Linked DNA regions of Oryzias latipes. The protein of the gene in region 1 interacts with the protein of each later gene in a biochemical or structural test. Links are inferred from orthologs where the notes say so. Each region holds a gene or a part of one and is shown on either strand. Other genes may lie near its edges. The genes, in order: map2k7, gadd45b and mapk8ip2.

The links.
Region 2: the proteins of map2k7 (region 1) and gadd45b form a complex in vitro, tested with the Homo sapiens proteins (2 studies listed by BioGRID and IntAct). The link is inferred for Oryzias latipes from reciprocal best matches to the Homo sapiens genes MAP2K7 and GADD45B.
Region 3: the proteins of map2k7 (region 1) and mapk8ip2 form a complex in vitro, tested with the Homo sapiens proteins (2 studies listed by BioGRID). The link is inferred for Oryzias latipes from reciprocal best matches to the Homo sapiens genes MAP2K7 and MAPK8IP2.

Annotation. Positions count from the first base shown.
Region 1 is NC_019859.2:2,782,429-2,786,079, forward strand, and holds part of map2k7 (dual specificity mitogen-activated protein kinase kinase 7), read left to right. Parts: intron 1-1,657; coding exon 1,658-1,802; intron 1,803-2,448; coding exon 2,449-2,515; intron 2,516-3,651. UniProt on the Homo sapiens protein: Dual specificity protein kinase which acts as an essential component of the MAP kinase signal transduction pathway. Essential component of the stress-activated protein kinase/c-Jun N-terminal kinase (SAP/JNK) signaling pathway.
Region 2 is NC_019862.2:22,490,600-22,493,999, forward strand, and holds gadd45b (growth arrest and DNA damage-inducible protein GADD45 beta), read right to left. Parts: upstream 2,038-3,400; 5' UTR 1,834-2,037; coding exon 1,790-1,833; intron 1,670-1,789; coding exon 1,568-1,669; intron 1,483-1,567; coding exon 1,260-1,482; intron 1,164-1,259; coding exon 1,050-1,163; 3' UTR 586-1,049; downstream 1-585.
Region 3 is NC_019864.2:20,580,547-20,584,637, forward strand, and holds the start of mapk8ip2 (C-Jun-amino-terminal kinase-interacting protein 2), read right to left. Parts: upstream 2,861-4,091; 5' UTR 2,746-2,860; coding exon 2,681-2,745; intron 1-2,680. UniProt on the Homo sapiens protein: The JNK-interacting protein (JIP) group of scaffold proteins selectively mediates JNK signaling by aggregating specific components of the MAPK cascade to form a functional JNK signaling module.

The DNA.
Region 1 (3,651 bases):
CTGGTGCTCCTGGCAGAGCCCTATCTCACTCGTGCAGAAAAACTCTGAGCAGCAGGAAGTGACTGCTAGCAGACATTTAGTCTAGTCATACCTCTAGTATGCAGTGAGACCGCGTCACTGAAGGGTGTAAACACAGATTCCACTGGACATGATCATTATTTGTGTTTGTGTGGCTGCTATGGGGGTAACCATTGATCGATGAACTGTAGATGACTTCCCGTTGAGGCTTAATGTGTATTTTAAGAAGCTCAGCCTGCCTGCATGGCTTTAACGGGATAGGAAGTCCTTACACGGCAGAAGGCTTTTGCTTCTTCGATGTGGACGTACCAAAAAATTCAAACGAGATAAAAAAAGAAGATACGTTTGGCTAAAACAGTAGTTTTTTAGGTAATTTAGCTGAAAGCAAAGGTCAGAGTAGCTGTTCTGGGCGGAGTTGTGCCGTCGTCCAGCGGTGCTGGAGCCATCTTTAGGTGTAGCGTTTGCAGCCTCTTTAGGACTCTAGAAGATCTATAGCAGTGGTCCCCAACCTTTTTCAGGCCACAGACCAGTGTTAATGTCAGACAAACATTTCACGGCCGGGCCTATATGAGGCTGAAATGGGCCTTCCGTTTCTTAACTTTTGAGGGTAAAGTTTGTCTTCGTCCTCTGTTAAATTTCTGCAGCTGCTTTAAACTTAATCGTTCACTAGATTTCCTGTAGGAACCATTAAAATGTGAAGAAGATTTTCTCTTCAAAGTTGAAGCTAAAAATCAGACGCCAACTTCAGCCTCGTCCGACTTTTAGGGGAAAAAGGGTCACTACAGCTGGTATTTTCTAAATCTAATAATAAACTTGAATCGACTGAACAACTTTATTAGCAGCAGCAGCATCGCAACATTAGCTGCCAGGTGCTGAGTATTCTGCATTATTATTATTATGGTCTGTGGAAACAACTGTCAGAATTAATTCATATTTGGAGTAAAGCCTCCTGGCTTTTGTCTGGTCGATACAGCTTTCTTTCTGTTTCCTCGCTGGATTATTTCAGCCACAAGAAACTTTCCTATTATATTTATGTTGTGTTGACTCTCCCAGCCCGGGGGTTTCAGTTTAGCGCTCGTAGCAGCCGCTTTATGAAGGTGTCAAATGGATTTTCGACGCGTGTCCGAGCGACTCGGCGTGCGTCAGGAACGAGTCGGAAATGGTGGAGAGGATTCAGGAGTTTTCCAAAATAAAACTTCCACGTAGGTCGTCCTTTTTTCCTTTGCAGCCCGCCACCCACTGTCCCACAGACTGGTACCGGTCCGCGGCCCGGGGTTTGGGGACCACTGGTTTAGAAAACACTTATGCCCTTTAATTCTACATACCTAAAGAGGTTCAGGCTCCTTTATGCTACATGGACTTTAGCTCAACAGAAGGAGAGGGACAACAAATCGATCAGTCGGCTCGCCGATTTGATGAGAGTTATGGTTCATCTTAATCACAAATGTTTAGCTGGTTATTTGTAGGGAAATGTTTTTATTTTTTAAGGAACAAAGCGTGTTGAAACCAAAGACTCAGACGTGAGGGCTGTAAGTCCTGACTGGTCCTCAAAGCACTGAACGAGCTGCTGGGTGTGGGGAGCGTACCTCCACCTGCAGTCCGCTTTCTTTTAACGCCACCGTCTCTCGCTCCAACCCAGCCCTGCAGCTGCCCCTGGCCAACGATGGCGGCAGCCGCTCGTCCTCTTCAGAGAGCTCGCCCCAGCACCACCCGTACCCCAGCCGCCCCCGACACATGCTCACCCTGCCCACGCCTCCCTACGGCCTGCAGAAGAGTCTGGAAAAGTAAGCTGGAGCCGGAAAACTGCAGCAGAGTGGGATCTGGAAGATTGTCTGTGATTACTCGTATAAAAGGGGGGTGGTGGGTGAGATCTAATGTAAAGAAACGTTAAGGATTTACATATAAGCCATCTGTAAAGAAATATATTTTTTTTTTTTCCGTATAGATTAATTTGAAAAATATTAATTCCAAAATCTTATTTAGAATTTTTTTTTTTCTCACAAATTCTGGACAAAAGTCAAACTTTCATAATTGAACTAAAGAATTCTTAGATTTAAAAACTTTTTTTTACCACTTAAAAAACATTAGAATATTGTTAGAAAGGATAATTGATCCATCAATTTGATGAATGCATATTTATGTTGGAGCTATCCAGATATCATTTAATTGAAGATTGATTTACTTTTTTTTACTTCCCCTAATATTTATCCAAAACCAACGCAGAGAAGCTTCTCTTGTCAAAACATGGGGGGGGTGTTTCTAAAGGAGGTTTGTGGTTGAACTTCTCAAACTTCCTCTCATTCTAAAAAGTCACCCTTTGGTTTGTAACGCGTCTCAAACTAAACCTCAGCCTCTTTGATTTTCTTTTAAGGATCTGACTTTGCGTTGCTTTCAATGACATCTGTATTTTTCCTTCTTCTGTCTGTTTAGTGCTGAAATTGACCAGAAATTACAGGAGATCATGAAGCAAACGGGTTACCTGAAGATTGACGGTCAGGTGAGACATTGAGGACGGATTTCTGGCATATAAAGATAATCTTTTAAGAATATAAATATATAATTGTTTTTTGGGCTATTGTTCTAAAGGTTGTGCAAGTTACTTCTTTATGGTCGTGAATATATTCACTTTTGTTCACTTCTCGCTGTGAAATTTTTATTTTTGTTGATGTTCATGAGGAGAATTTTCATTTTTTTCCTGCTGTTTAGCTTTGATTTATTTCCTACAAGCAGCTAAAACAAAAACACAACGAGAAAACGATCCCAAAACGAATAAATCCCTAAACTAAACATAAAGGAAACCATGTTGATAAAAACTGGAAAAGTCCCGGTTTGTCCTCGATGAAAGTTCAGACTTCTGTCCGTGTGAAGAAACGTCTCAGAAAAATGTCTGCATCCTTGGGATGTTTATTTTCGTGTCTGATAATCTCAAGCTCTGTGTAGTGTTGGGTTTTTTGTTTCCTCCATCAAGCTCCAGTTTCAGACTGTGGCTCTAAAGATGAAAACAATCTGAGAACAGCGGCTGTAGTCCTTCTCTTCATTGATCTTAGAGAATTGAAAACATGGATTTATGTCCATTTTTATGGCCACTGAGTTGATTTTATTCGGTTGGAACTGGAAAAAAACCCTTTTCTATGACCTCACACTTGGTTTTCAGTTATGTTAGAGATTATTTCCAAAATATTTTGCTTTTAAAAGAAAATTATCTACACATTTAACTCTAAAATACAGTGATTGATTATTACAGTAAAAAGAGACAAATAAGTAGTTTGTACTGTAAGAGTCTATACATATATAAATATAATTTTTATGTCCCATTTACAGAATATCTCGTTTTTGTAATTTATGTTGAGTTTGCTAGAACGTGTTTGGTTTTTTTTCTTTGTCTTCATGATTTATTTTTTCTAGAAACACATTTTCTAGTCTAATTTTTAAAAATAGGATTTTCCATTAAGATGAATATCTTTTTAAAAATGTAGTTATTTTTGTTTTGATTCTATACAGAAGGAATCTTTGTAAATCTACACCATAATCTTCATTTTTCTCGGTTTGGGTAGAATTTTGTTTTCACATCAAGTTGGTGTCAAAATATCTGGGAAGGGTTTCTGACGTCCTGCTCGACTCCTTCTGCCTCCG
Region 2 (3,400 bases), on another chromosome or scaffold:
CAGAGATCAAATAACTCATTGATCTGCACCTTGTCCAGAAAAAACACGAGTTTTGCAAAAAGGTTTAAAAATATGAGGCTAAACCTAAAAAAGAAATCTGACTGAAAAAAATGCAGGATTTTTAGAAAGAAAGACTTGTCAATTGAGATTTTCTGTCCAATTGGTTACATTTTTGCCTTTTTTGATTCTAAGTCAACCTTTTTCTCCCTTAGACTACAGTAAAGTACAGTAGTGCACTCAGATTCTGGCTGTGACAAGCAGCTTTGATACTCTCAGCTTCTATCAACCTATTTTGTTTTAGACACAAATGTCAATATGTAAATAAATCCACAACGGTTTTTTTCTTTCTTTTTAAACACTAATAAAGCCATTAGCTACTTTTTTTAAACACCTGAAGTCATCCTTCTGGGTAAAGGGCCCCACTTTGCACCTGTAAGTCTCAACAATGACTAAACTATAAATGTAGTAACCTCTAAGTAATCTAGTAGAAAAACTTCTATATAATGTCTTCTCAGAGACTGCTCTGGGTCTAGAGAAGCAGAAAGTGACATCATACTCTTCACAAAAGGAAAAAAAAGGCAGAAATCACTGTTTGTTCAATGCATAATTTATTTAAATAAATGAGATTCAACATGTAGGTCCATTTTTTTCATATATTAATCTGTGCACTTAAATAACAGAAGGTTTCGTGCGTAAACAGGTGAGCAAGACACCTGGCTCTGTCCATTGCAGCTCCTCGTTCATGCATCGGTTCAGTCACGTGACGCCTCCGCTGTCGTCACCTCGTTTAAGAAAAAAAAAAAAAACTTGCAACGCTCCCTGACCCGGAGCCTCCAATCGCGCTCCTGGCGCGGCGGTTCAGCACCGACGCCATCATCCCACGCGCTCCCGTGATTCCGTCTAAAAGGCGGACTGAGGCTCGTCGAGCTCCCTTGGGGAGGAGAGTCGTGCTCCCCCTCTTCACCACGAGGGTCTTGGCTGTTCTCAGCTTCTTCTCACCGCTCCTCGGGCGGTAGGCAAAAGGCAAAAATGGAAAGGTTCAGTTGCGCTCAGCGGTCCTTCAGCTCCAAGCAGGGAACCCACAGGTTCCTGCAGCGGCTCTCTGCGCAGAAGCTGCTGACGTCCTGCAGAGCTTGACACTGGAGCGGCTGCACGGGGGGGTTCTGCAAACAGATGAAAGGGGGGGGGGTCATTTTCATGCTTCAACACGGTCCTGTGGATGCACTGAAAGTGGTGCGTTAAGTGAAGGAGAAACTTACAGTGACCAAGATGCAGTGCAAGTCCCGGGGCTCGTTCCCGTTGCTGTTCTCGGTGTCCTCCCCCAGCAGCTGCGCCAGGCGCCTCATGCCGGACACCCGGAGGATGTTGATGTCGTTATCGCAGCAGAAAGCCTGCAGCAGCGTGAAGTGGATCTGCAGCGCGATGTCGTCCGCGTCCTCCTCGTCGGTGGCGAGAAGACACAGAACCACACTGTCTGGATCTCTGCAGGAGCAAACAGAAGAAAGCCGGGTTAGCGCGCGCCTTTTGGAGCCATTTCAGACGCGTCTCGTGGAGAAGAAGAACTTACACATTCATGAGTTTGGCGGACTCGTAGACTCCCACTGTGAGGCAGTCCTGCCTCTGAGCCGCGACCAGCAACTCCTCCAGAGCCTGACTCACCGTCTCCATCCTGCAGAAAACAAGGAGGCGGTTAGAAACCGGGGCGCGCACTGCGTAACGCATCTCAAACAACACCGCTAAACTGCAACTAACGGAGAATTAGGGCAAAGACAGCTTTTCAGACACTTACTTTTTGTCGGTACTGCTGGATCCAACAACCTCCTCAAGAGTCATGCTGAAGTCAGTAAAATAATCCACAAGCTCCAGGATAAAAAACAGAATCCCCAGCGATGCTGAGACGCGTTTAGATCCAAAGGTAGAGTCCCGGCAAAACAAATGTAATCCAGATAGGTTTTTGATCGTTGTTCCGTCCGTGATTGAGTTCTTAGTCCGTGTTCTTAGTCTGTGTGAAGGTTTCTGTCCTCTTACAGTCGAAACTGTCCGCTTTTATAGGCGGATCGGCGCTTCTTGACGCGCCCAGACGCTTGCTCTCGCTGATTGGTTTCGCCGCAGATGGGGAGCGCAGCGATTGGTTGGGCGGGCGTCAACTGCCGGTGCTCCCACGTGGGTGGTTTCGGAGAATCCCCCGCTCTCAGCCCTCCTCCTCGTCGTATGTCTCCGTTCTCTCCACTAAGCGTGTTTACTGGGAGCTTTCGATCTGAGTGGAGGAATTTCCAGATCTTCCTGCTTCCTCTCACCAGAAACTTAGGGGGCTACAAAAAACAAAACTGCACAACCACCCAACGGTGCAGCACCTGCCTGAGGAAAGTCTCGAATTGGAATCAGATGATTTTCTTTTTTGTTTGAAAGCTTAGGACCATGGCAGGTGACTGCCCCGTGTCAGAGCACGAGCCCCAGCTTGTGTAACGGCAGCCCGGCGCTGCAAGTTGTGCAAGAGTGTTTTTTTTAACGCATACCAAATAACAGTAAAAGATCATGCTTTTTAATATTAGCAGAAGTGAAAAGTGTGGTTTTGATTTTTGCAAGTTCATTCTGCTTCTTAATACTCGCTCCTTACCGCCCCCCCCCCCTTAACCATTATCCCATTAATCTCCTTTCACCATGCAACTGCAATATGCAGAACCATCCAGAAAAACAGTCAAAAATAATAAATCAAACTGACTGCAGACTGTGCGTAAACTTACACTCAAGTGTTTCAGCAAGCTTGCATCACTCATGAGCTCCAGGTTTCATCAGAGCTTCCTGCCCCAACACACAGCTCTCGATCGCCCCCTAGCGGGGGAAAAGGAAATCTTGCAGGAAAAAAGTTTCTGCAAAACCAGTCTGGTTGCAGGAAGAAAGGGGAGGGGGGGGGATTCCTGGTGCTCCTCAGGGACTTGAAGGGGGCTTCTTACGTGGGAAATTTGCGCGAACTCGCAGGTTGTTTTATTTTTATTATTTTTTTAGGTGGCCTTTTAGGGAATTTCTGATTTGAGGTCCAGGATATAAAGCTTATCAAAAAGAAAAAAAGTGGGTTTCATTTCAGAGCGATAAGCATCTAAAACTATTTCAAAGACGTTGTTAACTGAATTAAACACAAATGACTGGAGATGCCCCTTAAAAACATAAATCTGGAAGACTGAAAACGAAAATAACTGCACAGGTTTATTGAGTGAACAAACTTCATGCACAAGGAGTCAGTTTTTACTTAAAATATTGTGATTTATAGTAATTTTCTTTAATATTTCAACATTAGTTCTTAAACATTTCCAGCCAAAGTGTTTTTCTTATCTTTAAATCTTCTATTGTTAACATGTTTTTCAATAAAACCCTCATTAAAACCCTATTTTACTTTCTTGTG
Region 3 (4,091 bases), on another chromosome or scaffold:
TCTCCCCTAACACCGACTACCTTCATGTTTTTGTTCACTGTATCGAAAGAAAAATAAATACTTGGGTAACATTTTGTAAAAGCTTCAGTAAGTAGACGCATGGTTTTCATAAGGATGCATTTTAGCGATGAGAATCCACTTCACTGTGATATCATCTTTAGAAGACATTTAATGCTTTTTGTACTGACTCATTAACCGGATCATATCCCCAGACTTTTGAAACTCCTTCCATCTCCAGGAAAGCTCAGGCATATACTGTAAACAGATGAGTCATGCTTTCGGGCTCATAGCCCCCCACTCTTGTCTGTGATGATCCTGCCACGTTTGATCTACAGGGGGCTGTGAGGCACGAATCTGTTGCAGATGATTTCATCTAGATTCATCTGGATTTGGATTAATGAAGTCATGAGGTAAAACCCCAGAGCTGCAGTTGAACTGAAACCTCTCGGAGTTGTTGATCAAACCAAATGCGTTGAAATGTTTCTTTCCAATAAGGCCAACATTTGATAGAAAAACATCTACAGCTACAGAGACAAACAACCAGAAAGAGAGAAAAATGACTAAAAACTGGAGAGCTAAGGCAGCAGAAATGAATCTGTATTGACTTAAGCCTCTTACCCCCTACCATACCCACCACCACTCCCATCCCCCTTTCTGCTTTCTCCAACTGACTTCAAAGTGTTGGGAGGCAAAAGTAGAACACTGATGTTTAAGCCTGCAATGATGGGAGGATCAGACAGTCGCATTAAGCAAAATCAGTTTCTTTTAAATGTCCTGTTAAAAGGTTTTAACTATGACACATGTAAAAATGCAGGTGCTTGTTGTGCAGAAAAGGGGTTCAATCCATCTGCAAGTCCACACCAAAGTGTAAGTGAGATATTCAGTTTGTGTGACAGAACAGTGTTGTGTTACTAAGGGTTCGGAACAGGCATGAGTAGTAAATGCAGGGTGTGTTGTTTATGGTTCCGCTGGGGTGGGATCAAATCCAATCACTTTGGAGAGAATCCAACGTGATAGTAATGAAATTTGTATTTTTAGCCCTATTTATCTATGCAGAGTCTATATGGAGTCCAAAATAAGCCAAAAACTTTTCTTCACACAAAAACGTGAACAAATCTAAACGAAGAAAAAATGGTGTCTTGGCACTGGTGACTTTTGACATAATTATAAAAAGAAAAAGACCTCCAAAACAATAGGATTCAAGCACAAATACTGACCTGGCCCTCATAAAATAAGATTCATTCCTTCTGCATTTGGAGTGCACTTATACTTATTACCAAAAGGATTTCAATTTTATTTTGGAAACGGTTGATGTTTTCTGTTTTTTTCCCTAAAAGTTCACTGCCACATTTGCAATGTTCTTGGAGTGGAGTTGGAGTTGGACTGGAGCGAGAATAGCCTTTAAAGAGTTCTTTATATTTTCATATTAAGGAATGGACAGCATGAAATGAAAAGTGACCCAATTTGATGTAAATGTTTTGCAGTAGGGCGAAATTTTCAATATAGATATTTTGGAATGCTTTCATTTCTACCACCTAATGGGTTAACAACAGTTCTGTGTCAACAATAGTCTGATGAAGAAGCCATGACATAATGGATTGATGCTCCTAATCATATTTTCTTCACCCATAATTTGGATTTTGTGGTGTTTCATAGGATGTTGGTGACTGAAAATAAATTAGAAAGACTTGAAGAGCATTAGAAACAACAACAACAAAATTACATTTTGGCCACAAAAAAAGCATGAGACTGATCCACAATGTTTTTAAAACACAAAGAAACTTGGCTTGTGGTTTCTTGTTGGAAATATAATCTGCTGTTGGCGAGTGGAGGGTCTTAGTTATGAGGTCACTGGCTTAAAAAAAATCAAATCAATCCCTAATGAACCATCTATGAGACTGTTGACCTCACATCCAAACTGGGCATAGCAAATCCAGATCAAGCACTGGGATAATGCTACCATGGCTGTTTCTGGACCATGAGCAGCACACATGCCGACATTCAGTCCATTCGTTTGTGAAATGCAAAAGAAAATTACAATTACCTTTTTCCTGATGGCTGTTTACTTTTCTTTGTGCAGCATCCTTTCCATACGTTGAAGTATTTAAAGATGGCACAGCCATAAAACTGCCACTATCATAGTTTAATGTGGCTGGAAACAAAGTTGAAGTTTCTCAACACAGCAAAAGCTGTTTCAAGTCATCTGCTATTTTGCGTCTGGTTACGGACAGATCTAAATGTTTGGCTTAAAAAAGGTCAGAGTTCTTCCTAGGGGCTTCACGAACATCAGTGGGACTTCCTGCATCTTTGTTCGGTACTCTTTCTTGGGTTGGACTCATCAGGGCGTGGGCCTCGCACAGAGAATGCGCAAAGGGGAGAATGTCGCGAGCTTTCAAAATATCTGTCATAGAAAATGGGCTGCTTGTTTTTCCTTGTAACAGTTTACGGAGGAGGTGACTTTAAAAAAAAAGAAGAAAACTAAGAAAAGATCGTGATTGATGCGCTGATCTGCACCCTGATGCGCGCAGTCAGGCACCCACAGGCCTGTGGTGATCCCAAATACCCAGGCTGGGAGCGCGCGTTTGTTTTTCATGTTGCGCATCGCGCCCGTGCGGATTCACTTATATTCTGAGCATCTTTTCCCGCTCTATTAGTGATTTTTTTAAAGGCCAGCTCTTACCTGCATCCCGGAGGAGAGAGGGAATGAAAAGTGGACAGCGAAAACATCTCAGCTCTGTCCGCCATCTTCTACCACCAATGACTCAAAGCGACTGCAGAAAATCAGGATGGAGCGCAGTCCATTAACAATCACAAGGCCAGAGAATGGACGGCGGTTTGTCTGCTCTGCAGCCCCCGCAAATGCCTGCCTGGGCGCAAGCCTTCAATCAGACGCGGCTGCTCAACACCCCAACGCATCTGCAGTCAACCATCCGCACGAACAGGCTGCGGGGATGAAGCAGGGGCTGCAGAGCCGGCGGCGGGAAGATAAAAAAAAAAAGCCGCGTTCCTAATGTAAGTCCACGCGAGGCATGAAGGTTTCCTGCCCACAGTCCGCGCGATTCGCCCGTTGAATGTCCGTGATGCTGGCTGGTGGTAACACAACAGCAGCGGGCCAGCAGTGCGGAGACAGGGAGAGGCGAAGAGGAGGAGGGGGTTGGGGGGAGCGACGTAACGTCAGTGTCGTTGCTGTGTGAGCAATCAGTGCTGAGAGGATGCAGGCAGAAACACTGGCGTAGATCCCCACAACATGCAGCACATGTCCTTGAGAGGAGGACGACCAGCGCAGGGATTGATTGAGCCAGTATAACGATGGCATTCAAATGTGTCTCTTAACGAAAAGAATAAAGATATTTAATTCTAGAAGTCGATGTAATTTTTGATGGTTTACCCTAAACATTGTGGGCTGCTTGGTAGAATGGAAACGAAGCAATGAGGGACGCAGAGTGTCGCTGTTCACCACCTGTGGTACTGAAACTGAGCGAGATCTTGAAATGCTGTTCAACAGCCGTACCACACGGGGTCACTATAAGGAGACAACTATGAATACTTATCTCTGTATAATAGGGGTGTTACGAATAATTTTAAAGATTCAATTCATATCATAATTTCTAGCTCCCGATACAATTCATTGAAAATATTGTTTTATTTTCAACAATCCGATTTGTTCCAATTGACTGGCCTAAAATAAATCCAGGACATCTTTAGACAAAAATGTAACCAGTGTGACTCAGACATAAACACCTGGATACTGAACAGTGCAGGGGAAGTTTTCCAGATTCCTTGTATTTTAATCAAGGAATCTGGGAATCAAGTTTGAATTAAATGTGTACAAACAAACAAGTAAACAAGAATGAATGGCAAATCTATTCACATTTTAGTTTGCTAAAGTTCCACCCACTGTTGTTTTTCCACATCAACACAATAAAAACGAAACATTATAAGAAGATTCTACCACACTGTTTTGTCGCATGTATTTGCTAAATTCAGTGTTTCCACACATTGGACTGCAATGGTTACTTGATCAGTTTTCCTTGCCATCCTGTGTGTTGCCCAGTGATGGTTGTTTTTACATTATAGTGAAATAGGCCTAC